Linked DNA regions of Danio rerio. The protein of the gene in region 4 purifies or fractionates together with the protein of the main gene of each other region. This does not show direct contact. Links are inferred from orthologs where the notes say so. Each region holds a gene or a part of one and is shown on either strand. Other genes may lie near its edges.

Region 1 (5,329 bases), on a different chromosome or scaffold from region 4:
AACCTGAGAGAAGAACTAAATTTTATAGGAGGTTGAAAACAAGGACAACTTTAAAAAGTTTGTGTATGTCTGTCTGTGGTGTGAAATTATGGAACAGATCAGACTCTCAAACAATGTCAGCATGGTAATCAGTTTAAAAAGTTGTATAAATAAATATATATTATAAAAGGAATATAATGATGAAGGTGATTGAAAATGGTATGATGAAACTTTAATTAATGGCTATTTGCAGTACTATGTTTTTTTTTTGTTTTTTTTTTAGGTCTATGTTACAAAATGTAAAGGTACAAATGGATTTAAACATGTCAAAGATGCCAAAAGGATAAAATATGTCTCATGTAAAAAAAAGAGATGAGTGAAAGAAGAAATAGGTTTAAGTAATAGACGAATGAAGTATGTGGTAACGGGGTGGGAAAATAATAGGCTTGTGCTTCATCCCAGTCCATTTTCGAAAATGTTTTTTATTTTATTTTATTTTTTTATGATATTTTATGTATATTTTTGATCCAAAATAAATAAATCAAATCAAAACTTCTTTTTTCCCCCTTTTAATGTAGGAATTTCAACTGTGGTATTAAATATTAAAATGCTCATGCCTATTTACTGGAGTTGTGAAGTAAACTTTGTGCAGGATATCTTTTAGTTACATAGTTCAACTATTCTATTTCTACATGTTGTTTAATATCTATTCAACAAAACTAAGTAAAATAATTCATTTTTAATCGTTGCTTCTATGACATTTAAATTAAATTTTCTATTATTAACACTTAGCCAGTGGGGCTTTGCCAACTATTTTTTTTCTTTAATATTGTACTGCGTTGGTTTGTTATGATTATTTTATTTACTATTTCATATTTTAGTATCTATTTTGCATGCACATTAACCAATATTATTAACATGTTAACAACATCAAAACATGAATAAGTTAGAAAATTAAATACAAAAGCACACTGTTCTTCATTTTAAACAGGTGCATCTCAGAATGTGATTTTTACTTTATGTAAATGATCTACACAGCCACAGGACCCTTTATCTTTTTACTTATTTTCAACGTATTAGAGAGGCAACAAACTCACTGCTAAAATTAAAAACTATTTGCTACAATTGTTTAATACCTTGTTTCTGGATACAGGCTATAGTTTAGCTACAGTCGTGTGATGGGGAAATAGCATTACAAAACTGTAAGTCAGACGATGTTTGGGCAAAATTATGGCCATTCGCGTCCTTTCTATCGTGCAGAAAATAGATTTATGTTCATCTACAATCAAAAACAGAACAACCATTATGAAAAAAATATAAATATAGGCTACCACGAATGTATGTATATGCTTTTTTGTTATAATTTATGTGGATCAAAAATATAGTTTAACTTAAGCGCCCCACACAGCATAATGGCTAAATAATATACTTTAAAGTAGCCAAGTCAAACTTAATCTCTACAGGCCTAGCTAACATCGCGTCTTAATCAAAATCCATAAAATAACTTTACTCTTGAAAAACGAGAGATTTTTCCTGGTAACGTTAGCCTATTCCCGAAGAGTAACTTCTCCATGGCACAAAACCCAATTATGTTAGCATAATTAGCGTTGTGATATGCTTATGTACCCGAAAAAAAGAATAAAAAAACTTCTTGTGATCTAAAAGCAGGCTAATGCCAGTTACATTAGCCATAAAACATTAGCAGAACCTAATTTCTGTTTCTCTGCAGCCTCTCCTACTGTGTCGTAAACTCATGTCTTCCTGACTCAGCTGTTGTGCGCAGGCGCAGTATGACAGTACTGCACCACGGTTTTGCTGTGACGTTTATGACAGAGACAAGTCCGAACAAATATCTCGCTACGAAAAATTATTTTAAGACACAACACTTTGATAAACGAGTCAGTTTCGCTTATTTACGCATTATATTGGAACATGTTATTCATGGAGACCGATAAAAATAAATTACAGCGTTGAACTGATTGTTTTCGCAGTATCATCATCATTTGGTTTTACCTGTGAAGCGAATTAATTTCGAAAATCAATAAAGATGATGAACGTCGAGGATGAACTGACCACAGCAGCAGCCACCGGAAACATTTCCCATGTTCAGTTTTTACTTTCTAACGGAGTGAATGCCAATGTGGTTAACAAATTTAGAAGAACGCCTATACAGGTAGGTTTAGACGCGCTTTAAGAATAAACAACGGAAATAAACAAATGCAAATAAATAAATAAGATTAATTGCAGATATGTAACATTAAATTAGTAACATACAATTCAAAGACTTATTTTGTATTAAAGGTCATATTATTTAACAAATTTAGGCTATTTCATATTTTCACACCTGTTTGACTATATGGGATTTACTTTTCTTTTTTTTTTTTAAATATTAGGCTATTTGTGTATTTATTTTACTCATTTTAGCATGTTTAAGAACCTTTTAGGCTACTTAAACGGCCTGAAACATGTTTACCAATAGCGTGTTATCAACCTATATAATACTAACAACACTTTCTATCTTTTAGTAATGTCATTAATTTTAACATTATAATTTTAACTTATAGCTACATTCTTAGAAATTAGTCCGAAATAAGACAAGGAGTTTTGGATGTATTGTCAAAGTTCAAATTATTCAAAGAAAACTAAAATCTTATTGAAAACGAAAGTCCCAATGTACTATAACTGTGTATAAAAACCAAATGTTTACAATTATATATAAGAGATAGATAGATAGATTTATATACATAACAATAAATAAATAAGACATTTTATAGATCTTAATTTCAGATAAATTTTAAACTATTAAATCATATCTCTATGTGCGAGAAGAATGGCACACTACTTGCTAATTCACTCCCGAAAGCTTTGTTGGCATCGATGGTTTTAAGAAGAACCTTTTGCATCTATGGAGAAAATTTTTGAAAAATGTGCCTTTAAACTATTAAAATGTTTATTTCATTTTTTGACAATAAAAATACTTCTTTTGGAAGCTTTGTAATAGGTTTTCTGTGCGGAACCAGAAGGGCATCACTGCGAAAACCCTTTTCCTCTTATTGCCATGCTTGTTTTTACGAATGTACGTTTAATATTTTGACATTTGTACAGTTGGCCTATATTGACCAAAATAATCAGCCACCACTAGCACAGTCATAGACTAATGGAGTATATATTTTAGACCATACTTATTTTTGCTTGTTTTTATAATCGTGTAGGCCTATTATTATAATATTTGGTGTGAAAGTTTTCATCTAATTTTCACAATGTCCAATGGTTTTACGGTTCATGCTCTCGGTTACGGGACATCAAAAGCCGAAGAGGTAGCCTACAATAAAGTGCGTATAGATATCTTTTAGCACACTTTAAACAGATGGACAGCATACATCCAGAAATCGTAAAAGATTAGGCAATTGTAAAACTTCTGACGAGCATGAATTGCCTCAGAAAAATGTCAATTAAACGAAAGATGTTTAAGAAAATCACAAATGTGAACAAAGCATATTTATGGCATACATTTTATTTAAAATGATTATAGGAATCTTCATAATTAATCATATGAAAAATAAGAATTAGCTACAACACAATTTGTTGCATTTAATTGATTTACTGCCCGTGAATAATTTATTGATAGGCTAAAAGAGTAATGCATCATGCACAGCAATGTTCAGTGCCAGCATGTGCACTGCTTTCGTTCCTATTTAACCAAAAAGTATCTACTTTCCAGATTTCGAGTGATGGCAGTAAAATTATTGATTAAACAAACTTCTTTACAGTGACATCATGACGTTACTGGCGTTTATTTTTTCATGAGACAGCAATTTTCCCCCTCTCCAGGTGATGATGATGGGTAACGCACCTTTGGCTCTTGTGCTGCTGGAACAGGGAGCGGACCCTAATGTGCCTGACCCCGACACAGGGAGCACACCTCTGCACGACGCTGCCAGAACCGGATTCATTGACACCGTGCGGCTTTTAATCCGCTTCGGCGCCGACCCCAATACAAAAGATCACTGCGATTTACGACCAGTGGATGTGGCACAACAGACTGGCAACGTAGACGTGGTTGAATTACTCAATCGTGTTTAAAATGTTTAAAGACTGCATCACTGCATAGCCTAGGCTACTTTAGGTGGTAACCTTATTAATGCACTCAAGTACTTATAATTCTCAATAGCACATGGTCATTCATGTAGTTTGGAGATTCTAATCATTTAAAATTTTATTTCTGTATCTTTTAAGTTTATTTATTATTATTATTTATTATTAGCTAGTCAATGGGAACTTCAATAAAAGGCTACAGACACAAACCATCATACGCTCATGCTAGCCTATAGTTCGCATAATAAAAAGTGTAGACAGCATTATGTCCAAAGATAAATAAATAATTAAATAACATATCCACCTATTTGTTTTTAACCTGAAAAGCATGGCGACAAACATTGAATCAAATGGCTTGCAACGCAAGGACATCCAATATTTTTGGCGAGCTCTTTCTTTTTTCATTTCTTCCGGTTAAACATGCTTTTATTAAGTTTATAATATTGTACGACTAATAAAAATGAAACTTTCTATTTATACCAAGGCATAATTTAAATAATTTTGCTTAACGTGGTTAGCTGTTTGTTAGCTCTGTGTGGTTAAACTGTGTGGGTTAACTGACAAAAGAAACATTTAGTTTGTGCGGGATGTTTGTTAGCCTTTATTCTTAACTGTACTGTAGTGTTGAATTGATAATTGTTTCTTTTTTTCTGGCTACTCAAATACCCGGTGCAAACTAAACCCGTATGTTAATTAAGAGTTTAACCTTAAAAAACTATATATAGCCTAATAGAAAACGAGGCGCTTCATTTTACATGCATAACTCGTTTAACTAAGTGCAGGAAAGTGTATTAAAATCTCTATTTTTTTAGAAAGGCAGAGAGAGGAAAAAAACAGACAGAAAAGTTAAATAAGGCGTCGATGTAAAAGAAAACGGTGTAGATGCAAAGGAAACGAAGCAGGTAACGCTTGTCCAAAAAAAATCACTCCTGCATTTTTGTCCCCCTCACATTTGTATCCAAGTTTGTTACAAATACGCACTTTGTTCTTCATTCTAGAAAAACAAACGTGTTGCTGACTAAGTTACATATTTGCTAATTCAAATATAGTACAATGAATAATATCCACACAAACTGCATAGGGAAAACAGCATTCGTTTATTTGTAGGTATGACAGCCATTTATTAACCAAAATACTTGTATTTATATTTAAGCTATTTATGTCATGCTTATATTTGTGTGATATTGCTACTGCTAATGTAAAAGGCACTAAAACAATTGTAATTATCCCAAGATCCCGTCTTTTCCCTCTACCA
Region 2 (5,251 bases), on a different chromosome or scaffold from region 4:
GAGAAATTGTGTAATTTCTTAGTTTTTTTCCCCCTGATTTTATGAAGATAGATTGTTGGTGATTATATGGATGTCGGCCCGATTGGGTAGCTTTACTTGGGACAGGAAAATTAAGACCAGTTTAAAATGATTTAAGACCTACAACACAATATTTCAGTGATTTTAAGACTTTTTTTTTTTTTTAAACTTAAGACATTAAGACCCTACGGATACTGTTTTTTATGCATTGGTTATTTTTATGCATTGCCACAATCTGTGGAACTCTTAACCCTCTGATAAAATCCCAGATAATTATTAAATCACTTATAACCTACTCTTTTAGGGTAGCTTTTTAGATTTATTATTATTGTAAGCGTTTGATTATATTCATTGCATTTTTTTTGCATTCATCCTGTATGCATCTTTAACAGCTGCACATTATGTCTGTAAAGTGCCCCGAGATGCTACTTTTAAAGGTGCTAAATGAAAATAAAGCTGCTTATTATATAAATCTGATCAATCAGATGGGGCCTTTACTACCTTTAGCCCCGCCTCCTAAGTAGTTGCTGTTCTGCTATTGGCTGGATTGGCTTAAAGGTGAAATCAGAGCTAAAAAATGATTCTCACTAATAGTGCTTTAAAGACTAAAGGTTTGCATCTTGACAGTTTTAAGTCTGAATTAGATCTGGAAAATATATTTTACTTGTTTATTGCAAAATCATGAAATAATTTTTTTAAAACAGCTAATTAAATTGACTTTTTCAGAGAAATGTTTGATTATAGAATATATATTGCATATTTTTCCCAGTATCGTGCAGCCTTAAATGAATAGTATGTTACCGCTTCATCCTCCTTGTCGACGTTGCTGGTCTGTGAGAGCTTGATGTTGCCTGTGCCCAGCTCTCCGCTGGCAGAGAACTTCACGCCATCCTTGGCACACGAGATCATGACAGCATCACCAATCTGTGACAGATCCCTGCAGATGCGGGCAAACTCACCCGACGGCATCTTCACCACACAACTGTATTCCTGCTCCTGAGGGGAAGAGAATAAAGCATGATCATTGCAGACAAACATCCACGATCATATCAGAAATAAACAGGAATCAAGAGAGGGAAACTCAATAAACTTTAAGACCTCATCGCCATTTTAGGTTTTAACTTAACATTGGTGACAATTCAACTTGTAGTATATTTACTAAATACTGATTGTAAGAAACGAATCCTAAACTAAATCGGTCATGTACTGAATAAAAATGCTAATCCCAACAGATGGCACCTATAGAACAGCAGGAAACATAGGCTTGCCTTTATTACTGCAGTAGACAAAGCAGTGTGATGCCAAATCTAGCAGGATTTTATCAATTTCATAAACCACACAGATTAAATTTAGGCAAACTTTAGCACACAACTACACATTATATAATCATAAAATGACCAAAACAATTATATCTTGTAAAACAACAGTTAAGGCTGTTTAATACCAAATTGATTTATCAACTTTTAATGACCCTGCAGACACCCTGTTATAATAAAGTCTTACTGGAATGCCAAGCTGCTCCACATCCAGATCCATCAGTTTCATCTCATAGTCGGACACTTTCTCTTGATCTGAAATGAGATGTAAATATTAGTATGGATTATTAGCTCTCCAGCAAAACTTAACTTTTGGTTTCATAGTAATAGTTGATAACATGGTGAAGAAAATCCATACTAGAAGCATTTTTTTTATGTGATGTTATTAACCACAAAATGGCTCCAGTATCTATGCGAATTTCATTCTTACATTTTTGGAGAAAATTATTATTAGAAAATTATTTTTAAATATTAAGTATTAATTATTTAGCTTAACTTTAATGATTCATTTTAAACCAAAGCCCATGTTTTTAACAGGTATTGCTGATAAATCGATATTAAAATACTGCAAATATAAATTTAGCAACATAAAATAAATTCATAATAAAAAAAAGTTTTTTTTAATTGTACACTATCAAAAGTATTGCTATTCCTAGTTTAAAAAGAAGTTAACTTACTGAGCGTTTCAAAGACCAGTGCCAAGGCGTCAGCATTGTCTTCAGCTCTGAGTGTGATGATGTCTTCATTTCCAGCACACTTCAGAATCTTCGACATGCTAGGAAACAGATGAATAATAATCAAAACACGTTCACTTCAGGTAGAAAAACACCATATTGATCGTAAAATGGTTTACCATTTACATTCGAAACAGTCATGGCATACACAAAAAGTGTCTAAGCAGGTTTTCTTTGTCTAACACCAGAGCCATGTTGTCATTCAGCAACCCGGCATTTTCTTTCCCGCCAACAAGCTTAAGCGCGCGCAAGTGACGTCACGATCAGTAGAGCGTGGGACGAATGCAGGAAACTGCGCGCCAAATTAAACTGATAGCCTATTTAAAACACAACCGTAAAACGGCATACTTTAATAACAACTACTGTAAATAAAATACTTTTGTCACTTTATAGTCTAAAAATGGCGCGCTGCTGTGTAGAGGCGCAGCCCCGGGCATGCGCAGACATGTTCAAACTTCACTCACCAAGTAAATACGAGTCAAATAACACAAAAGGCGCTTGATTTAGTCAGTGATTTTACCTGCTCAGATTGACCCCCATGGCTAGGTTTCTGTCGCAGCGGTAGGAGTCGAACCCGTCACTCCGGAGCGTCAGCTGCACCAGAGACACATGAGAGGAGTCCATACTCTGCAGAGAAATGCCCGACGAGCTCACATCCCAGCAAGCCTCGGTGATCAGGTCTTTCAGAGCCTCCAGGACCTTCTTAAGGATAGATCCCTGAACCAGACGTGCCTCAAACATTGTGCTGCTTTCTTAGTTTAGAGTAGGAGGAACTAAAGTTATCTAATCCTGTTACGACACAAGCTGCGGCCTGGTTAACTGCTTGTTTTCCAGCACAGGAAAGCAGAATCCTAAACTATCCTAGAGTTTAGCAGGTACTAATGCAGAGGAGGCACGGTGCAGATGTGCTGTCCACTGTTCTGGCGAGGCTCTGAATGTAACTGCGCGCGCTTTCGCCGGGATTTTGTTAAACTGACCCACTGTTGCCTTCGTCATTTCCGCTGACGTTTGACTCCTCCTGGAACGCAGACAGAACTGCGGACACTGACCAAAAGAGGGCGCAATTTGGTCAGAAGGTATGAGTTATTCACAACATTTATGAATACCCATTACAGTGCGTTTTAATAACCTTTACCCCCACCCAAACCCTAAACTGACCCGTCACTGTGGTGTAAAATATTATATATTGTCGTACAGTGTGAAAAATGATGCTATGTCAACGTGCGCATGCCCAAGTATCCACAACTGTATCCCTTTTTTTGTTTCTTTGACAAATTACTGTGCTGTTGCTAGAAGGGATACAGCTACGGTCGGCAGTTAACGAGAATTATTTATAAAATTTATAAATACCCATTACAGTGCGTTTTAATAACGTATACCCCCTAACCAAACCCTAAATTGACCAGTCACAGTAACGTAAATTATTAATTATTGTTGTGCAGTTTACCAAAGATCAGACTATGTTGATGTGCGCATGCCCAAGTATACGCACCTGTATCCCTTTTTTGTTTCTGTGACAAATTACTGTGCTGTTGCTAGAAGGGATACAGCTACGGTCAGCAGTTAACGAGAATTATTTATAAAAATTATAAATACCCATTACAGTGCGTTTTAATAACGTATACCCCTAACCAAACCCTAAATCGACAAGTCACAGTAACGTAAAATATTAATTATTGTTGTGCAGTGTACCAACGATTGATGTTGATGTGCGCATGCCCAAGTATCCGCAACTTTTTGTGTAACACATGTTTTGTTGCTAAAGGATATAGCTGCGGTCTTCAGTTAACAATAACTACTTATAATATTTATGAATACCCATTATAATGCTTTTTAATAACGTCTACCTTACCCAAATCCTAAATCGACCCATCACAGTAACGTAAAATACTGTTGTGTCACAAAAATCATGCTATGTTGATGTGCGCATGATCAAGTATCCCACAACTGTATCCCTTCTTTTGTTTGTGTAACACATTTATGTATGTATATATATATATATATATATATATATATATATATATATATATATACATACATACATACATACATATATGTGTTACACAAACAAAAGAAGGGATACAGTTGGGGATACTTGAGCATATATATATATATATATATATATATATATATATATATATATATATATATATATATATATGTATGTATGTGTGTGTGTGTGTGTGTGTGTATGTATATATATATGTATATATCTATGGTGTAACTGCAGGTGCGGTCTTCAGTTAAGGATAATTATTTATAATATTTATGAATAACCATTATTATGCGTTTTAATAACGTCTACCTTACCCAAATCCTAAATCGACCCATCACAGTAACGTAAAATACGAAATATTGTCACAAAAATCATGCTGATGTGCGCATGCCCAAGTATCCCCAACTGTATCCCTTTTTTTGTTTGTATAACACATAACTTTTGTTGCTAGAGGGGATACAGCTGCAGTCGGCAGTTTACATTTAATAATTTATGTTAATTATTATTAAGTTATCAATAATTGCATTTTATTAATGACTACCCCAACCCTAAACCCAACCATCACAGTGATGTAAAAACAGTAACTATACGGAGTATTATTCATATTACTTATTAAATTACTTTTTAAATTGTAACATCTACCCCTACCCTCACAGTAGTGTAAAAACAGTAATTATACAGAGTATTATGTTATTTATTAAATTACCCCTTTAATTGTATTTTATTAGCATCTACCCCTCAGTTAAAAATATATAAACAAAAATCAGTGGCGTAGCGCAAAATGCGGAGGCCCCCCTGCAGGGATTGCTGACGGGCCCCCTGATGAAGGGGGGGGGGATGCGTCACACGTCATTTTGCATATCACTGACGTCATCACGTTCTACCGCTTCTGTTTGTTTAACAGCCTATAATTAATAAAGGGGTAATTATAATTGCACTACACTTTATATAAACATGTTTATTTAACTAAATGTATTGCTGTTTGAATACAGTATGTCATTATAGATGTGTAGTGAATGTGCAGTAATCTCTTATATGTAATAAACTCAGACAAGTTCAGAAATTGTCACTAAAATATCTGTGATTGTGAACAAGAAAAGAATAAACGGTCCAATTGTTAAAATAAAGTAAAAGCAGATCGGTTTGACTGTACAAGGGAAATACCTTCACACTGCCTGTGCTAAATC
Region 3 (5,392 bases), on a different chromosome or scaffold from region 4:
AATACTATAGTAATGTATACTGTAGTACTTTTGACCATGTTATAAAATAGCCTATTTAAATTTTATAGTTCTGGTATCACAACAACTATAAACACAACCCAATACTGAATAAACATGTTAAAAAATGCTATAATATTTACTAAAAATCACCATAGTATTTTTTCATGAGGTCATTCGTCTGCGATAAAAAACGCGAACGAGATCTCCTCCACTGGTGACGTTTCCAGGTGGCTAAACAGCGAGATTCGGCAGGTGTCCGACTTCTGATGTAATTTTTGAGCCCTCCTCTTACTGCGCACGCCTGCTCTCGTTTACAATGCAGTCAAGGCGAGGCGCACCTCAAACGAGCCTAATGTTATAACAGAAACGCTCCCTGATGATGTGGAGCTGATCTGTGAATCACAGCACATTGTTAGCGGACCAATCAGAGCCTCTTGGGGGCAGGCCTTTCAACGGAACTAGGAAATACGTCATTCATTTTCAGGTTAGCTGAGTAGCAGTATATAGCTACAGTAAGATATATGAAAAAATAATGTGATTTTCTACAAATGAAGCATGAGCACAGATTGCTTTGCACCCCTTAAACACAACCAAGCCTTAAAAATACATTGTGGACCACCTCTTTAATGAATCATGTGGGCTCATCAAGATTGCCCCCCAGTGGTGAATCACTAAAAATGTTCAAACATTCACCTGACCTCAAATCAGTTTTACAAGTTTATAAACATTTTAATGAAACATTTGTAAAACAAAGAGTAATAATAGTAGTTAATAGTCCCTTGTTGTCCTGTTTAGCACACCCATTGTACAAACAAATCTTTAAAAAATGTTAAAACAATACATATTATGCAGACACTTTTTTGAATGGTTCAAAACAGGCAATCCTTTTGTGAAGCAATTGGTTCAATTGTTTCTAAGCTTTGAAAAACTTAATTTCTCCCATTACTAGATTTTACACTGAGACGGTAACATTTTCAAAAATATTTTCATGTCCCCAAAACAAGATTGGTATGTAACGATGTTCAGTAATAATAATTTTTAAAAAGTTAAACAGTGTAAAAAGGTTCAAATCAATATTTCTATTTATTATTTATGTGGTAAGACGCTGTGTCATAAAATTGACGCAATCTGACGGTCATTATCATAAAACAAATCTTAACATGGTGATAAAAATACCAGGGTCTAAAACAGAATAATGACCACATCCCTTATAACACAGAATACTAGCATTCTTTAAAAATATTGATTAAAAAAAACACCCAAAATTAGTTTGACCTCCTCTATCCCAATTCCTACAGCCAATCAGAGTGGCTCAAATATGCATGGTAATAATTTGTAACTAATCACTTCTTTAATTAAAGTCTCTACCTCTGAGAATTTAGGATGGAATTGAGATTTTATCCCGGGGACTAAGCCTCCTTTATTTCTCTGTAATTAGACAGCCTAGTTATGCTTCATTGGGCTTCTGAGAGCTTCTTTTAAATGGTTCTGTTGGGGGGAAATAAACTTTATTAAAAATTGTTTTTTTACTTTGTGACCCCACATCAAATCTTTCTGAAATCAAACCATGTAAACTAGAATACTACTACTAATAATAATAATAATAATAATAGTCCAATTATAAAAGCTAATAAGTAGCTTTTCTACACAATATTTTACACGTGTCTCCCTCTCTGTCTTTTTATATAATATACATATAACAAATAAAAACGTAAATATAAATTAGCATCTGTTGGAGATCTGGTTAAATAATACTGAAAAGAACAGTCCAACAGTGACACCAAGTCGTCAAAAAGAGTAATGCATGCGTGCTCGTCTGTGTACCACTCAAAATCAATATGTGACCATTGTATGAGACTCACAATATAATAATTACATTATTTGTTTGTTGTTTGTCGTTACAAATGTAGGACATTTAAGACACAAGACTGCAGCAACGAACGCAATGAACTAGAATGTCGGTTTTAGGGTAACTAAAGGACGTTAGAGATGTTTCGTCTGAACACCCACTACCAGTGATATACAGCAACAAGTGTCTGTCAAAAACGTAAAAATCGCTATTCCTACCTGCACAAGGACTACTTTGAACTAAATATACAACAAGCCGCGCATGCGCACATTATCCAACACAGACGCCGCTTTCCTCCCGCTCCCAACCGCTCTATCATCTGATTGGTTGATTTTGAAGTCCCACTGAGTGCGCTGATTGGCTGCTTTTGAATTACGTCCACGCGGCCAGTTTGAATCAAGGAACTCGCAATTCAGCAGGACACACACACACAACATCCGCAAGCTTTTTCATTCCTCTAAAATTTCGAGAACTCTGTTGGACGTAGGACAGTTTGATATTCATCCATATTAGATATAGTTACAGAAAAGGTGAGTTTTTAAAAATCCATGATGATGATTGACTGTTATGTTAACGATTTTGATTCTGATCGCGTAACATTAAGTTGTTTGGGCCCAACTGAGCAAAAACTACTTAGTCATTTAACTGTAAGTTGATACTGTAAACTTTACTGAATGATGTTTTTGTTTATGTAATTTTAACGTTGCAAATGTACGTCCTAAATAAAACAGACGGTTGATCATTGGATTTTAGCACTAGTTTCTGCTGCATCTTGATTTTCCGTTGCCACATTGCTAAGTTACTTATTTTTCTCATGAAAACGTGTCTGACGTTACGAGGTTTTTAGGCACAAAATTATGACTTTGGAATTATGAAAAAGGATTTTATCTAATGGTTGTGATTTTGATGTCAACGCCAAAAGCTAAGACCTGTTCAGTCAGTCTTTTAACGGTACACATAATGTGTATATTTGACATCCACTGTAACTTTGATTGCTTTAGATAGTTAGTTTAAAGCAAAAACGAACAAGTTTAATGAAGAAAATAAAGAGAAAAGTTTCATTATGCATCCAGACTTTTTTTCCTCTTTCTAAAAATAAAAAAAAAATGATTCTGAAAATGTCATGTTATGCTGTCATTAATTTACTTTTTTTATTCTTTGTGTTTTTTCAAAAAAGAGTGTTTGGGGAAAATGGATGACTATCTGAAGATAGAGAAAATTGGTGAAGGTAAGATTTATCTTGTGCTTATTGTCATTTACATTAGCTACTATTATTCTTAGCTAGTCTCTAAATAATAAAACTGAGAGTGTTTTTAGTGAATGTCTAATGTAAATATGTGTGTGTTCTTTAGGTACGTATGGTGTAGTATATAAGGGCAGGAATAAAACCACAGGACAGGTGGTGGCGATGAAGAAGATCCGTCTGGAGAGTGAGGAGGAAGGCGTTCCCAGCACTGCTGTCAGAGAAATCTCCCTCCTCAAGGAGCTCCAGCACCCAAACGTTGTACGGTATGACAGATTTCATTACATGTTTAACAAAACAAATAATTTAGAGTCAATCAGATTTACTGTACAGAAAGTGCTGTTTGTATGCCTGTCTCTGTGGTGGTGGGTTAAAGACGGGTTGGTCTAATACAGCTTTATATTTTACTCTCTATCCATTGGAATGTGTTTGGTTTAATATATTTGTCCTGAACAATAAAAATAGTTATGACAGGATAATTGATGTCATCACCCACAACAAAGTAATATATTTTAACAATATTTAATATACCTCGCAAAAAAAATTGATCAGCATATTGTTATATCAGGAATTGTGTGATGACATTAAAATGCTGTTAAGGGTTCACAGTTTAAAAATGTATGTAGGTTGATAAACTACTACTCAAATTTGGGTGCTGTTTTTAATGCTTACCAATGCTTTGTTAATTTGATTAAAAACTATTGTGAAGTCTTACCACAGATTAATGTCTGTTATAAATGATGAATTTTCAGCATTATTACTACAGTCTTCAGTCTCATTATTCCTCAGAAATCAATCTAACATACCATTATTACTCCAGTCTTCAGTCTCAGTGCTTCAGAAATCATCCTAATAAGTTGATTTAGTTTACATTTATGTATATTACTAGTATCATAGTATAAACAGTTTTTGTTTTTCATATTTACTATGACAGTATATGTACTATTTTTACAAATAAAGTGTTTCTCTTTTTCCCAGCCTGCTAGATGTGCTGATGCAGGAATCCAAATTATATCTAGTTTTTGAGTTTCTGTCCATGGATCTGAAGAAATATTTGGACTCCATCCCATCAGGCGAATTCATGGATCCTATGTTGGTCAAGGTGTGTATTTTTTTTATTATTTTATATATATATATATATATATATATATATATATATATATATATATATATATATATATATATATATATATATATATTTTTTTTTTTTTTTATTTATTTATTTATTTATTTATTTTTTTTTTTTTTGGTACTGTAAATACAACGATTTTGTTTCATGTGCCTTTCATGCCCCGAAATACATAAATACTACATTCCTCAATGTTTTATAATGGCATGTGTTTGGATTCTATACTATAGTATTGAATGTGTATCTTGAAGTAACCGTGCTGATGTGTGTTGTCTATGTAGAGTTACCTTTATCAGATCCTGGAGGGGATTCTGTTCTGCCACTGTCGCAGGGTTCTGCATCGAGACCTGAAGCCCCAGAACCTGCTTATCGACAATAAAGGTGTAATTAAACTGGCAGATTTCGGCTTAGCCCGTGCCTTTGGGGTCCCAGTAAGAGTCTATACTCATGAGGTAAGTACACACATCCCACAATGGAGGCCACATTTCCATCCGCTATTACATTCACACTTAAAAAAAAATAGACATTTTTGTAATTGAGTAAAGGTGACATAAGTGAAAATTTAACACAAACTATCTTCTGTCAACTATATACTTCATTTATACCCTAAGAAAATCAAAGAAAATACTGAATGTGTATTATAGATGTATTCTTCGAGCTAAACCTATGATTTCTTTAAATTGGAAAAATGGATGTACACCAAATATAGGTTACTGGCTGAAAGAAATGGTTTTAAATACGACAGTAAAAAAGATAACCTATATATTAAAAGATAAATGCAAGGTTTTTGAGGGAGATCTTTCAAATTGTTTAGTTGTACTTTTTTAAATTAACTTTATCATATATTGTACCTATAATGTGGCTATTTCACACAGTCTCTCTCATTAACTAGCTTTTACTAACGCAATGTGTAAAGTGTTTTATCGTCACTTTATAATAATTTAGCAATTTAGGGTGTTTATTTTAAATATGAATATACAATACACAATTATTATTTTTTTGTTATAGCTGTTAGAAGTACTTTTTTACAGCTTTGGTCTATCATGATACAGCTTCAGCAGTTAATCGCAACAAGAAAATTTGATACTGGCAGAAGCCTAATACCAGTTGATGATACTTGCTCAAAATGTTATAATCACTAATGCTGACGTGTGTGCGCATGATTATGATT
Region 4 (5,118 bases):
GAGCCTTCACCCCAGCCCATTCATTTCATTCACCAGCACCCACCCCTTCCCAGTATCCATCCAACCACACTCTCCCTGGCTAAGATCCCAGGCTACTTCCCAAAGAAATGCGGGTCATAAACATAAAAGTGAAGCGAGCTGTGGTGATACCCACCATGTAAATGGAGGAACAAAAAGAGTATACCCAAGTAGTTCCTTCCTGAAACATTACTGGCCTACTCTGGCAGGTGATAAACTGACTGCTGTAGGTTGCTCGACAATGAGGTGTAAGGTCAAAAAGTGGATTTGCAGCCTTACCCCGAAGCAAACACTCTAACTAAAAGGGTACCTGGACATCAAGATGTCTAGACATGGGAAAATATCAGGTTACAAAGCCCTTTTCACAGGGAAAATGTCAGAAAACTACTTCCGCTTTTTGGTTCACATGCACTGTGTGCACAGAAGCGGTATCGTGAAGCAGGCAGGGCTTCTCAGAAGCTCTGGAGCAGTCAGCAATCACCACAAAAGGAAACAGACTTCCTCTCTCTTTGCAGAGCCTCTCACTGGTTTACAATAACTGTGAGTATGGAATTAGGACAAGCAAGATGGCTCGTTCAATTGCAATAAAGAAGTCTGCCTGAAAGTAAAACACTGTGAGGGAAGGATCTTCAATGCATGACCATGATAAAGTGCTCAAAACTTTTGCAAAGTTACCGAAACAAAATAAAAGTGAGCTCAAAAGTACAAACATACCTGTCGCACAGAGGGCCACAAAGGTCTGGGCGTGTTTGCGCAGTATCTGCTTGGAGCTCTGATGTATAGGCAGTTTGGCAAGGAAGTGTTCAATGAAATCATGTGGTGTCACTGAGGCCAGATCCCACTTCAGTTTATTTAGCGCCAGCAGTTCCATTTGCTGCGAGGGAGATATAAAATGGTCCAAGTTTACATAAAGCCCCAGACGATTTTTCCATTTCAGATTTTACACTCTTTGAACGCTAGATGGAGATGTCGATTAATTGCACAATAACGCAAGGCCTACGTTCAATTAACGCACACATCAAAAGCACCAACAATTTGTAACATGTACTGTTATTTACAGATATCTGTGGGTGCCTTAACACTTTGATAAACTCATTTAGCTCGTTGTTTCATGCAATACCTTAACGTATAGGTCTTTGAGCAAAATGACCTTCAATTGCATTATTTTACTTTAATTCAGCACAAAAAAAAAAAAAAAAAGAAAACAATATCAAGCTGCTAAATTAAAGAGTATTAAACATTTACCAATAATTCGCCGGGACGGACAGAGTTGTCCGTGTATATGCACAACTTCTCTGCTGTAAGTGGCACAGTCTCTTTCATTTTTGAAGCCAGAAACATACAAGTTGCTCCTAAAAGCTGCAACCTGGTTTTTTTGGTGGGCTCCACAGATAAAAACCTGTCCAGGTAGTTCATAGCCAAAGGAAAAACTTCCTCTTCACATTTCTGCTCTTCACAGACCTTTAAAGAAAAGAAAGTGCATACGATAAATAAATATTAAGTCACAACAGCAGCTAATTCTTTTAATTAAACGTGTAGAAATATATAAATAAAAAAAAATAAAAAATAAAAATAAAAACTATTCATAGAAATTTATTAAATAAACGAAGTGCAAATATTTTTTAAGCTACAGTATGCTTTGATCTTATCGAGTTATCCCACGTGTTTAGCATCTGCTGATTCGTACACGTGCAGTGGAAAGGGTTAAATTAGAAAAAAAAGACACGTGGAAATGCTTAAAAATAGTATTTAATCAGTAATTTAAGTTTAATCCTAAGTGTTGCACAAAGTATAAATGTTACAATTTGCTTCTGATGCTAATGGTCGTTGCTTTCGAGGCAAAAAGGTGGCGTCTGAGCTCGGTTCAGGAAACAATTTTCTAGTTCGTCATCTTTTCAAAAAATATTTAAAAATATACGAAAATTGTTTTGCTTGACTTTAAACACATGTAAATGTACTGTAACTCATGCTTTATTAGATTATGCAAAAATATTTCGATTGCAATGACAAAAACTACGTGAAATGAACTGAAATCCAAAGCCCCATCATACAAAGGGAAGCATGCGACATTTAGGTGAAGCGGGTGTTTCATAAATTAATATAAATTATTCCTTAGCATTAAATCTACTGTTAAACATCTGTAAATCCACATTATTAGAGGGTTAACATAATCCGATAGGTTATAACACGATGTTGAATTCAGAAATGAAATAATACAATATTTTTAGACCGTCGTGCAGGAGGTATGACAAACTGAAACAAAACTTTTAAGACACAAATATTACGTTTTCTTGCAAAAATTTGATTTATGTTATACCTGTGATTTAAAAGACAACTTGTGAGCGCTTTTATGCAGGTGATGTCAATTATGTTTCCATTTTAGAATTTAGAGAAATAAAAAACTTAAGCAAACGACAACAAAGATGGCGTATAATAGGCTACTGGCACGAGTGAGAATGCATACGTGTACATTGGTATTAAAATAAAATAAAAATAAATAAATGTATCTATATTTTAAAATATTTATAAGAAACGAAACGCATGCATGAAAAAATAACAACCCTAAATAAAAAGGCTAAAGCGGAAAGCACGGAAAACGTCTCGTGTCGGATTAATATTTCGTAATAAAACATTTTTACGTAAAAAATAAGCAACAATAATCGGACAGCGTGTTTCTGTGTGATATTTCTGGGATGGATAAGCAATGCCGATGAACCCAAGTCACACTAAAGCATTTTTTTTCATTTAATAAATACTTCTTGGAGTCCAAAGAGCAAGAGTAGAATCATCGTGAGGCAACGTGTGTAGCAGCAAATGCAAAAAAAAAGAGATATATAAATATATTATCCAAAACAAACCTCGAGCATCCACGTCGCGACGATTTTCCTCATTTTAGGCACAATTTCTTTCTGAACACACTTGAAATAATTTGGTGATGGGAGATAGTTTTCCTCAGCTTTAAGCATTGTCTGTAAAACTCGGTCATTCAACAGGTTGCTGTCTTGGTAAGCTCTTCTTATGGTATCCACTTCGCAGCAAAACAACTGGTGCTCCATATCTTCAGTGTTTAGCAGTGAGAAAAGTAAGAAAGCTGGAGCTCGAGTCGGACACTGGTCCCGTGGATGCTTTTTGCTGCCTCTGCTGAACCCTCTAAAAGTCTCGCTGCAGCTCTCCGCTTGACAAAACTCCCCTATGACGTGACTGTTGTTAAGGGAAGATCAAAGCAGCAGCAGCGAGCCTGTGAGAGAGCGAGAGGCTGTCTGCTCAGGGCGGAGGATCAATCTAAAGAACTATCTGCTTCTCAGTTTTGGCTCCTTTCTTTAGCCCTATGGAAATAGGAGGTCCTACGCCGGGTGACGAGTGACCAAGGAGAAGCGGTGGTGGGGGTAGGCTGGGCCGGGGTGGGGGCGCAGGGGGCAGGCTGCTAGTGTCGTGGGTATCGGGGGTGGAAAAGACTGGGGTGAAGATGTGTATTGGGTTAGTATTGGTAGGGGGCAGTATAATAGCCTAAATCAAGGTGCCCACACTGTCGCATTGAAAAACTTTTGTCACTGTAATTGTACAAGCATATATCAAAAGTTTTATTTGTAAAATAAATTTGGTCACAGTCACTTGTCTGCTTTTAAAATCAGGCTTTTAAAATGTTTTTAAAAGATTTTGGATTACTTTATGAAGTTTCATATAGCTAAGTTTCTGCACAAACTTGAATGTGGTTTCAGTAGGCTATATATGAAACAAATGTGTGGTCTTGGGTGGAGGCTTGTTTTATTTTTTTGTTTCTTTTTGGGGGGTTAGACTTAAAGAAGGAAGCACAAATTAGCCTAAACCAATGGAGGAGCACGTCAGTTGCCAGGCAGAACTGCGGCACGAGCTTTTATCTAAAAAAAAACTCCTCGTGGAAATGTTAAATAAACAAAATAAATTGTTAAAATTAATCATGTGAAGCATTCTTCTTGTCGTATTTAATAATACATTTCCTTAAATCTCATTTAACTTTTTTTTTTCTCTTTGTACACCAAAACATTAAATATTTCAAATAATAAAATAATACAAACAATAAAGTAGTTATAATATTTAGACTCGGAAACAAACCGCGTTAAAAGAAAACATTAGCTCACCGGTAAAGTTTAAACACGACATCTGCAGCTTTAACAACACAAATTGTTTGATAGAGTTTGATCAAACAGGGGCGCTCTCACTTTAAAAGACCTCACTGCTGTCGCTTCAGGATGAATTGAAGCTTTACAAATTCCGCACATTCCACTTCAATACCGTAAAACAAGTAATTTGCCTGTGCCCAAAACTTCAGCTGCAGAAAGAAGCTACAATAAAGTAACAACTTTAAATGTTAATAAATGTATTATAAGCTTATTATGCTATAATAGCAGCTAAGTTACTGTATTAAGTTCTATTACTTTAAACCTTTTTGAGAACATGCATATTAAAGAAAAAATATAACTTTTATTTTTACAGAAAAGACAAAGACAAAAAACTTTAGAGTTGCAGAAATAAGCTAGAGTAAAGGAACAACTTTAAATGTTACATGGATTTAAGTGTTCTCACAAGTCATTTACATAAGCATATCAACAACACTCTGTGTATATATATATATATATATATATATATATATATATATTTATTTATTTATTATATATTTAGTAGCAAACAGGCTAGTACGTTCATTCTAAGATCAAAAGTTATTTTATTAGCATAGTATAATATTATCTTAGGCTATAATAGCAACTGTTATTAGGCTACTGTATTATTTACTATTACTTTAAACCTCTATAAGAACATGCATATAATGGAATTTTGTATTTTTTTTTTTTTTTTACAGAAAAGACAAAGACCAAAACGAGTTGCAGAGAGAAACTAGAATACAAGAAAAACTTTAAATGTTCCACTGATTTAAGTTTTTTTCCCCCACACGTCATTTTACATATAGACATATCAACAATGCTCTTTAAATATTAGGCAAATATATTAATTAATTTAATAGCAAACAGTAGTTTAGGCTGTTCATTATAAGATCAAAAATTACTTTATTAGATTACTTTAATAATATATCAGGCTATTATATGACACTGTATTACTTACCAT
Region 5 (4,621 bases), on a different chromosome or scaffold from region 4:
CATTCAGTAAAGGCACAGCTAAACATGTGTTTTCAGTCTTGATTTGAATGTGCCTAATGTTGGAGCACATCTGATCATTTCTGGAAGCTGATTCCAGCAGCGGGGGGCAAAGTGGCTGAAAGCTGATTCACCCTGCTTTGACTGAACTCTTGGAACTTGGAATCTGAGTGATTTGTTGGGTTTGTATTCAGTGACCATATATGTAATGTATTGAGGTCCTAGGCCATTAAGTGATTTATAGACAAGTAATAATACTTTAAAGTCTATTCTGAATGTAGCATGAGTTGGTATCCAAATGTTAAATTTTAATTAAGTTTAAACAACCAAATTTTAAGGATGTTTTTAACCTCACTTTAACATTTGTAGATCTCGATAACTACAAGGATATAAGTATATATGTATGTAAACGCTGATCATATTACAGTCCTCAATGTATTTAATACAATAATAATATAATACAATTTTATGTCATTATTCCACTTTCCTGCTAGTGGTTGTCATTAGTGTTACTACAGTACAACCCAAGTAATAGTTGATGAAAAAAGCCTTTTAACCTTATCGATGTTGCAGTGTTTTACAAGACTTGTAAATAATGACAGCACCCTTTAATTTGACTTTCAACTTGTTTCATTTGATCAAACTGATTTTTTTATGCATAAGCACATATCAAATACTCAAATACTGGCGCGATTTGATCTGGTCTATTGTCCAGCGCAGTTGTAGTTACATGATGTAGTTACACAATTAGTTAGTAGCACAATTAGTTGTGCGCTTACCTTACACATTACTTAATACACACAGGATGTACAGTAATACACAAATATCTTTACAAATGAAAAAGAATTAAGGATTAAAATATTACAAAAATGATTATTTTCCAGCCTACATAAATATAAAAACCATACTTTCATGCCTTCTCTGGGGGCTTTTTCAGTTTATTCAGAACAATTTGCTTTTGTAAAGTTACTATTATTAGCAGTATTATTTATTATATGCATATTTATTTTTGTTTTATTAAAAACAAGCTTAGATGTGTCCACCTGTCAGGTTTTAGACCATATGGGGCACAGCATGTGTATTTGAAAAACTTTTTTGACCACACTTCGTTATTATTGTTCATTTATTCTTTTTCTGGAAATTAGAACTGAATTTAGAAATAGTTTTGAAACAATCTTTGCGCTTAACAAACAAAATTAATTATGTATAGGCTAATAGATGTCGGTGCGTACAACACGTTTCTCTATCCACGAGAGTGAAAGCGAAAGTAAACAATGAGAAGGCTTATCTCTCATGCTCACGCTGTAGATGCTGTTTTCTCTCTAGTGAAGTGTTCAGTTTTTCCACTTACAAAGTCCGCCTTGTAAATAGCAAATGCGCTATGGCGCGGCGCAACTGACTCTTATCAGACGTTCACACCGAAAGCGGCGAGAGCATCAAAGTAGCTGGAAGTCATTCATTTTCAATGAGAGCCAGCGGCGAGAAGCAGCGCGGCGCGTCTTCGTCGGTGTGAGCGTCGATGAGAGTTGAAATGAAGTCAACTTTATGGTAATGAGCTATGACGCAGTTCGGCGGCAAGCAATCAGAATGAAGACATCCACCGCTTGATAGCAGTTCAGAGAACACAGACCTGTGAACTTTGGTTCCGATCACAGTTGTTCCCAAGGGTTTGATTATTGCAGTCGCCGGATTTCCAATTATTTACAATGTTTTCCTACAGGAACATACATTAAATAAGTTACTGGCGAGTTACTGATGTTTATTAATGTTATATAAATTTATCTTAAAAAAGTGGGAATCTCACGCGATATGACAGTACAAAACAGTACTGCTGCTTCAGGATATTTCAGACATATGAACACGTATTGGATAAATAGAGCAAAGCCACACCACATGCAACTTGATCTTCCATTGTTGTATGAATATGATAAGAAGTGTGCAACATTTTCACGCTAGAAACATGTTTTATGCAGGAATGTAACTGATATGCTGCAACGGCTCCTTTAAATACGAGATCAATGTAGCGAGTTTTGACGCTTTCGCCGCCGGAGCTGAAGGCAGACAGCGTTGTCGCCAGGGTGGCCAGAGTGACCTTGGACTCTCTCGCCGCTTTCGGTGTGAACGTACGGTTAAAGGGAATGGGAGATGAGACTCTGATTGGTTTATTCTCAAAACACACTTTGCGCAAGGACCATCAAAATAGAGCCCATTGTCTTATTGACTGCATGATTCATTATGACTTCTTTAATTATAATTAAGCATTTTATTTTTTAAATAGTAACTAAAAGTAAATAGTAACTTTTGTTGCATTTTAATATTAGTACTTAATTTAAAAAAATGCTTTACTTGTTGCTTAAAGTAACATTATTACGTAACTGACGTTACTTGTAAGCTGTTCACTACATAATCATCATGATAAAAAAAGAAACCTTGCACATTTCTAAAATCCACAAAATAACACTCTGTCTGATGGTCATCACACATTGTTTATAATTGCAGATCTCGGTCGGATGTACAACCTTGTTTCCCGAATCACAGATGGATTGGGAGAGCTAAAGAAACTCTTGGAGTCCCACATTCATAATCAGGGTCTGGCAGCCATCGAGAAGTGTGGAGATTCAGCGCTCAATGTAAGTCATGCTTATGCAGTTTAAACCCACAGTGACCATGTGGAAACAATGCTTTCAGTTTCATGCTGAGCAGTTTAAAATTTGATTGATTTGGCTTGTGAATGTTGTGTTGAAAGCACAAGTGAACCTGAATTTCTTGTACTTAGCGTCACGTCATTTGTAATAATCCATAACAGGACTATTATTATCAGGACAAAAGCTGTTTGACTGTGACCTAAAATCTCCATGATTTAAAAATACACTTGTATTATATTTCATAGAAGTGACTCACCCACTGTATGCCACATCAATAAAAGCCAGGCACCGCCTTTACAGGAAACCAAATCTTGATTTATTATTTAATTTAAAAAATTGAAGTATTAGGAACTGAATAAGAATAAAAAATATAAAACACACTTAAGTGAACTTTAAGTTAACATTTAGACATTTTTAAAACACCAAGTCTAAATTAAAGCAAAACTGGGTGTAATTTGTGTGGGAAATATGATCACATGCCTCATATTTTTGTTTTGTTTGCTTCACATATATTGCATCACGTAAGTTGCTTTGCAATAGAATTCAAACCATATTTCAGATGGAATAATATGGAAAATACAGCCTTATTCATTAACACCATACTTTGGCTGTTTCTCAATTCCGAGAACGGACTTGCGTTCTTGTGGAGACCAGTCTTACCAGGTGTCCTCGGAAGAACGAACTCAGGAGACCGTGAGGGCAGAGAATGCGTCCTTTGAGAAATGGGATGCTGCGTTCTTCCTGATGGTCATGTGACCTTCACGCGTTTTAAATGGAAATTATTTAAACATTACAGCATTCATACAATGATTTAATGCCCCCCCCCCTTTTCCAAAATATATACTTTGCATAAAAACATTATAAATATACTCTGCACAATATAAATAAAACTAATTTTAATACGAATTTCAGCTAACAAACACCCTTAATGTGTTTATTCCTTTATTAAGATGTTCATGTTAATGTTTACTTTCACTGTTTCATTTAGGGAAACTCCTGAGGTAAATAAGTGATATCTCTGAACTTTAATAATAAATCTAAATAAAATGCTGCGCTTCCCACCTCCAGTCGCAATGAATTCTGGGACTTCCAGAGCGAGTTCAGTGCTCAAGTCTGCATCAGTGCGTCCTCGATATCAAGATCACATCCGGGAAGTTTCACGCGTCCTCCGTACTTGCGGTCTTGAGTATTGGAACTGAACTTAGGCAGCTGATGATGACGTTGCACGAGAACACGAGAATGCAAGAGCGCTGAAGAACGCATATTGAGAAACAGCCATAGACTTTACTTGGACAGGTTGCCCAGGTATATTAATATATATATATATATTATCACCCATTACAGTTTTTTTTGTATCCGCCCAAGATAACTCAAATGTCTGCGTTCGATTAACCAATGTAAAATCTTCTCCTGCCCCATTTCATACTGCTCATTGTGTGTGAGCGAGAACTGTCAACAACACTTCCTCAGACAGTCTCACGTGCTATGCAGAGACCCAAAGACATGCAACTTTTTGAGGCTTAAAAATACATCTGGCCGGTGTTTCTAAATCTCCTAAAATGTCCGGGAGTCAACTTTTGCTTTCGCTTTCTAAAGCTGTTATGTTTTTGCATTCCTCTTTTTATTAAAGACTTGGCTTCACAGCTGACAGCGTGCACAGCTGCGAGAACAGGAGAAAAAGTAAATAATGGATTCATTCATCTAAACAAGTAAAAAAACATTACTGTATACTCAGAGAGGACAAAATGAGATCTAAACTGGCTGCAAAATAGAAGTACACCATTAATCAACTAAATTGCCTTATTTATATAATCTACACATTTTTAATTCTAATTATTACAAAGTATCCATTTTAGAGATATAGTCTATTGTTATTTATTTCTCATTTATGTTATGTTATTCATTACATATTTTATGCATATCTAAAATGCTTTGGCAGTACTGTAGTAAATGCATGCCAGTAAAGAGAGAGAGAGAGC
Region 6 (5,248 bases), on a different chromosome or scaffold from region 4:
AAGTGAGTGTTCCTTTAAATGAAGAATAAGAAAACGCTAATGGTGTTGTTTAAAATGAATGCTAAAATCTTGTTCCTAAAAAAGTAGTTGCACAACATACTTTTTTTTTAATCTTTACTGAATGTACAACAAAATTAAAACACTCCATTTTCGAATTTTTAAGGAAAGGCTCATTTTATTACCTCCCTACAGTTATACAGTTGAATTTCACCATTTTCAATTCATTCAGTGTATCTCAGAGTCTACGAGCACTTTTAGCTTAGCTTAGCATAGATCATTAAATCGGATTAGACCATTAGCATCTCAATAAAACAAAAAGTTTAAATATTTTACCAATTTGAAGCTTGACTTTTCTGTAGTTACATTGCGTAGTCAGACTGGCAGTAAATGAACAGCTGTCTTGGAACTTTACTGTCATTCTGGCGTAATAAGCAAGGAACTTTGTTGCTGTATCATGGCTAAAACAAGCGCAGTGATCTTACGCAGTGCCTAAAAAAGGTTCCTTGATTATGACTCAGAAAATAGAACATTCTATTTTCAGCAGTCTTAGTACACAATGTAACTAAAGAAGAGTCAAGCTGTAAAATGGAGAATTATTAAGACTCAACTTTATTATTTTTGAGCGTGATGTTAATGGTCTAATCCGATTCAATGATTTATGCTAAGCTAAGCTAACGGTGCTCCCACCGGACCTGAAGATCTGATGAATGAATATTTAAAAATTGGTTAAAATGGAGTCACTCTTTAAATAAGAAAATAATCAAAACTCAACTTTTTTTTTTTTTTTTGAGGGAGATGCTAATGGTCTAATCTGATTCAATGACTTATGTTAAGCTTAGCTAAAAGTGTTCCCACCAAACACAAAGATCAACTGAATACATTTTTAAAAATATAGTCAAATTCAACTGTTTAACTTAAAAAAAATAAGGTGCAGCGTTTCTTTAAATGAAGAATAGGAAAACGATAACAGTGTTGTTTAAAATGAATGCTAAAATCTCGCTCATAGAAAAATCGCACAACCTAGACTTTTTTTACCATTACTGTGTACAACACAAAATTCTATGGTGGTTTTTCTTTATATACTGTATATCGTAACGTGTGCTAAATCAATGATGTGCGCTGTACCTCATTCAATTATAATGCTCATTTGATCGTAGACAAAAAAAAATAATAATAAGATAAAGAAATTGCTGCTTTTTGTAGTCCCCACCGCAGCGTTTTGTAAACCTTCAGAGACCAATGAAGAACATTTGGCAACTAAATGAATCATGTAGGGCCAGGATTGAAGGTTTGCAGGCTAGAAGAAATTATCAACATTTTTAATTTACATAACAGTTCACCTATATATGTGACTATGATCAATGTTTATATGGATAGTTCACGCAAAAAATAAAATGATCATTTAATCTTTCACTTGTTTAAAGCCTGTTTGAGTTGCTTTCTTATTGAACATAAATGAAAATGTACTGAAGAACGTGAAAAACAGCCATTGAGTATTTTTCGTTGCTACTAGAGATGCTTTTTCCAACATTCTTCAAAACATCAGCATTTTTGTTCAACAGAAGAAACTCAAAAAACTTTAGAAGCACTTGAGGAATTACGAGGAATTTTTCATTTTTGGGTGAACTGTCCCTTTAGATGGTCTGACGTTATGCGATTCTCTAATTTTGTTTGTCTGGATGAACTTTTTCCGATAATTCCATTAAAAATGAAACTTTGCTGTTGATTTAATACCCTCGGGTCATCAAAGACGGTCGCTTTCTTTTAATTCAGTGACACATTAAAAGACTTATGGTTTAAACTGTGATCCTTGTTGATTCATAAAACTGCAAGTAAGATATGGAGTCAAAAATAAATACATAAATAAATAACATACAGGCTAATCAAAATACATATATATTCAGCTCTGGACAATAAATTGAGGTCTTATAAAACACAATGAAGTTCATAATGCTCATGGAATCAACTATTCCAATCATTAAAGGCACAGTTCAGTCAAAAACAAATTCTCACTGTTTACTCCAAACCTTTATGTGTTTCTTCATTATGTTGAACACGTTTCTGATGTACTATTGATACCCATAGCAGGAAAAACAAATGCTATGGAAGTCAATGATTACAGGTTTCCAGCATTCTTCGAAATGTCTTCTTTTATGTTCAACAGAATGAAGGTTTTGAATAGAGAGTGAATAACGCATTTTCAGTTTTGGGTGAACTATCCCTTTAATTTTGCCTGTATGTGTTTTTTTTGACTCCCAAAGTGCTGTTGACTTGCATTTTATAAATCACCCAATGACCAGTGTTTCAGCTAAAAACACACATTTTGTTAATGAAGAAATATGTCAAATTGATTTTTGATGAACTATCCCTTTAAGACCATAGTAACAACATAAAGGTCTTTTTGGAGATTTGTGCCGAATAACAGCAGCACACTCTGCATTAGAGAGAGTCACTATTATAATCATGTCTGTATGATCAAATCATAACCATAATCACTAATGGAGGAGTGTCTGGTGGTCCCTCTATTATCCTATGGTGAAAGCAGAAGCTGAGGGGGGTTTGAGGAGGTAAAACTGGCCCGTCTGTGTTCCTACATGATGATTTGGAGAGCAGTTTTTGTTTTTGTTTTTTTATGGTGGGCAGAAATCAGCAAAGTAAGGGTGCTGTAGAGCTTCTTCTGCTGAGATTCGCTGTACTGGATTACATTTCAGAAGATTCTAGAAAAAAATAAAAACAAAAAGTCACAAAATAGTAACATTTAGCAAAACCATCAATCATGAAATACAGTTAATCAAAAATTAATATAAAACTGCAATTATTATTGAAATATTTCACAAGTGCTTTAAAATAGTTTTTTTTCAACATTAAAAAAATAAAAATGATATATATATATATCAAATATATATCAAATATATATATATATATATATATATATATATATATATATATATATATATATATATATATATATATATATATATATATATATATATATTTATTTATTTATTTATATTATTTTAAACTACCCAGGTTCTGTATGTTGCAATGTTGCCAATTGTTATTGATTTTTTTTCCCGTTTAATTTAAAATTTCCCCAACCAGTCCAGAGCCCGGTGGAAAAGAGTGAGTTCTCCGACTTGACCCCAGCACTGGTCCAACGTTTCTAAACATAATAGTTTTAATGACTCATCTCCAATTTAGGAACAACTAATTTCCAACTTATTTATTTGTCTTTGCCATGATGACAGTACATTATATTTTGCAGGACACTATTTGAAGACCTAATTAGGTTAATAATGTTAATGCCACAGCCATATCTACCTGTAGCCCAAGACCAGTTACGCACTGAAGCCAAGCAGGGCTGAGCCTGGTCAATACCTGGATGAGAGACCACATGGGAAATCTAGGTTGCAGTTGGAAGTGGTGTTAATGAGGTCAGCAGCGGGAGCTCAACCTGCAGTCTGTGTTGAGTCCCAATGCCCCAGTATAGTGAAGGGGACATTATACTGTCAGTATGCACCGTTGTTAAACTGAGGTCCTGACTCTTGTTAAAAATCCCATGGCACTTCTCGTAAAGCGTAGTGGTGTATACCCGGTGTCCTGACCAAAGTCCCTCCATCGGCCCTTACTGATCATCCCCATCCAAGAAATTGGCTGGATCACTGTCTCTCCACTACAACTATAGCTGGTGTGTGGTGAGCGCACTGGCGCCGTTGTCCTGTGGCTGCTGTCACATCATCAAAGTGGATGCTGCACACTGGTAGTGGTGTGGGGAGACCCCCCCTCATGATTGTAAAGCACATTGTGTGTATGGCCATACACAATAAATGCACTATATAAATACACATTACATTACAATTTTGCAATGTATGGTAATTGGGCAAGTTATTGGACAACAGGTGTTTGTTCTGTGTGGACAACTAAAATAAACAAAATGTTAAGGGGGGTAATAATATTGACCTTAAAATTGGTTTTAAAAAATTTAAAACTGCTTTTATTTCAGGGCAAAAAGGCTTTCTACAGAAGAAAAAATATTATAGGAATTACTGTGAAAATGTCCTTGCTCTGTTAAAAAGCACTTGGGAAATATATACCTAAAAAGCAAAATAATTAAATCACAGGAGAGCTAATCATTTTGATTTCAGCTGCGATTGTTATGATAATGCAAATAATATACCTGTAGTAAATCTCTGCCGGTGCTGCTGAGTTTCGGCACGACGTTCACAAGTGATGTAGTAGCTGGATACATCGGGTACGGCTATTGAAATATCAAATAAATATTTAAAACAATATATAAATAAATTAAAAATATATGCAGCCAATTACTGAGTACAGTGGTCCCTCGTTAATCACAGGAGCTACGTTCTTAAAATAACCTGAAATCCGTAAAGTAGTCAGCTTTATTTTTTTACAATTATTATAGATGTTTTAAGGGCGACACGGTGACTCAGTGGTTAGCACTGTCGCCTCACAGCAAGAAGGTTGCTGGTTCGAGTCACAGCTGGGTCAGTTGGCATATCTGTGTGAAGTTTGCATGTTCTCCACGTGTTGGCATGGGTTTTCTCTGGGTGCTCCGGTATCACCCTCAGTCCAAAGACATATGCTATAGCTGAATTGAATAAACTAAATTGGCCGTAGTGTATGTGTGTAAAAATGTGTGTATGGATGTTTCCCAGTAATGTGTTGCAGCTGGATGGGCATTCACTGTGTAATTCATATGCTATAAAGGGACTAAGCCGAAGGAAAATTAATGAATGAATAGATGTTTTAAGGCTGTAGAACCCCTCACTGCACACTTTATAGGCTTTTCTCAGACAGGCATCAACATTTTTCCTGCAATCACTGATACTCAAAGCTAAATATATATACCTGTATCCTGCACTTGCTGCTGTTGCACTGCTGGTTAGACCTAAACTGCATTTCGTTGCATTGTACTTGTACATGTGTAATGACAATAAAGTTGAATCTAATCTAATCTAATCTAATCTAATCCAAAGCAGACTCCATGCTTACGATGGTCTTGTTGCAGACAGTTACAACCCTTATTGTAACTTTGTTGAAGCTTATAGCTGCTGTCATCTTTATGTTATTTCCGTCCTTTTTTATGTAAAGAGCCGAAGATTTATTTATTCCGTAATGGTGTCCTACAGCTACGAAACTTGTCTTTATCATGTCTAGAAGTCCAACTTTTTGTGCGATAAGTTAGCATCTACTTCAGCCTTTTGGGTACTTCCGCAGGTGCCTTTGA

What was found.
Region 1: the proteins of ccnd1 (region 4) and cdkn2a/b purify together in Homo sapiens (affinity purification with western blotting; 3 studies listed by BioGRID and IntAct, with this or other methods). This does not show direct contact. The link is inferred for Danio rerio from reciprocal best matches to the Homo sapiens genes CCND1 and CDKN2A.
Region 2: the proteins of ccnd1 (region 4) and pcna purify together in Homo sapiens (affinity purification with western blotting; 5 studies listed by BioGRID and IntAct, with this or other methods). This does not show direct contact. The link is inferred for Danio rerio from reciprocal best matches to the Homo sapiens genes CCND1 and PCNA.
Region 3: the proteins of ccnd1 (region 4) and cdk1 purify together in Homo sapiens (affinity purification with mass spectrometry; 4 studies listed by BioGRID and IntAct, counting the BioPlex papers as one, with this or other methods). This does not show direct contact. The link is inferred for Danio rerio from reciprocal best matches to the Homo sapiens genes CCND1 and CDK1.
Region 5: the proteins of ccnd1 (region 4) and cul1b purify together in Homo sapiens (affinity purification with western blotting; 4 studies listed by BioGRID). This does not show direct contact. The link is inferred for Danio rerio from reciprocal best matches to the Homo sapiens genes CCND1 and CUL1.
Region 6: the proteins of ccnd1 (region 4) and cdk5 purify together in Homo sapiens (co-immunoprecipitation; 4 studies listed by BioGRID and IntAct, counting the BioPlex papers as one, with this or other methods). This does not show direct contact. The link is inferred for Danio rerio from reciprocal best matches to the Homo sapiens genes CCND1 and CDK5.

Annotation. Positions count from the first base shown.
Region 1 is NC_133176.1:27,775,350-27,780,678, reverse strand, and holds cdkn2a/b (cyclin-dependent kinase inhibitor 2A), read left to right. Parts: upstream 1-1,764; 5' UTR 1,765-2,026; coding exon 2,027-2,152; intron 2,153-3,810; coding exon 3,811-4,062; 3' UTR 4,063-5,324; downstream 5,325-5,329. UniProt on the Homo sapiens protein: Acts as a negative regulator of the proliferation of normal cells by interacting strongly with CDK4 and CDK6. This inhibits their ability to interact with cyclins D and to phosphorylate the retinoblastoma protein.
Region 2 is NC_133185.1:46,058,481-46,063,731, forward strand, and holds the start of pcna (proliferating cell nuclear antigen), read right to left. Parts: upstream 3,072-5,251; 5' UTR 2,810-3,071; coding exon 2,589-2,809; exon of another isoform or gene 2,536-2,588; coding exon of another isoform or gene 2,504-2,535; exon of another isoform or gene 2,314-2,503; intron 2,110-2,313; coding exon 2,012-2,109; intron 1,590-2,011; coding exon 1,522-1,589; intron 1,015-1,521; coding exon 820-1,014; intron 1-819. Other genes in the region: E3 ubiquitin-protein ligase TRIM69, read left to right, coding at 2,504-2,535. UniProt on the Homo sapiens protein: Auxiliary protein of DNA polymerase delta and epsilon, is involved in the control of eukaryotic DNA replication by increasing the polymerase's processibility during elongation of the leading strand.
Region 3 is NC_133192.1:22,199,086-22,204,477, forward strand, and holds the start of cdk1 (cyclin-dependent kinase 1), read left to right. Parts: upstream 1-2,270; 5' UTR 2,271-2,379; intron 2,380-3,026; 5' UTR 3,027-3,040; coding exon 3,041-3,077; intron 3,078-3,201; coding exon 3,202-3,358; intron 3,359-4,070; coding exon 4,071-4,194; intron 4,195-4,502; coding exon 4,503-4,673; intron 4,674-5,392. UniProt on the Homo sapiens protein: Plays a key role in the control of the eukaryotic cell cycle by modulating the centrosome cycle as well as mitotic onset; promotes G2-M transition via association with multiple interphase cyclins.
Region 4 is NC_133182.1:69,631,607-69,636,724, forward strand, and holds the start of ccnd1 (G1/S-specific cyclin-D1), read right to left. Parts: upstream 3,354-5,118; 5' UTR 3,075-3,353; coding exon 2,877-3,074; intron 1,480-2,876; coding exon 1,264-1,479; intron 893-1,263; coding exon 733-892; intron 1-732. UniProt on the Homo sapiens protein: Regulatory component of the cyclin D1-CDK4 (DC) complex that phosphorylates and inhibits members of the retinoblastoma (RB) protein family including RB1 and regulates the cell-cycle during G(1)/S transition.
Region 5 is NC_133199.1:21,242,527-21,247,147, reverse strand, and holds part of cul1b (cullin-1b), read left to right. Parts: intron 1-2,496; coding exon 2,497-2,627; intron 2,628-4,621. UniProt on the Homo sapiens protein: Core component of multiple cullin-RING-based SCF (SKP1-CUL1-F-box protein) E3 ubiquitin-protein ligase complexes, which mediate the ubiquitination of proteins involved in cell cycle progression, signal transduction and transcription.
Region 6 is NC_133199.1:37,948,265-37,953,512, forward strand, and holds the end of cdk5 (cyclin-dependent kinase 5), read right to left. Parts: intron 4,259-5,248; coding exon 4,178-4,258; intron 2,718-4,177; coding exon 2,631-2,717; 3' UTR 774-2,630; downstream 1-773. UniProt on the Homo sapiens protein: Proline-directed serine/threonine-protein kinase essential for neuronal cell cycle arrest and differentiation and may be involved in apoptotic cell death in neuronal diseases by triggering abortive cell cycle re-entry. Interacts with D1 and D3-type G1 cyclins.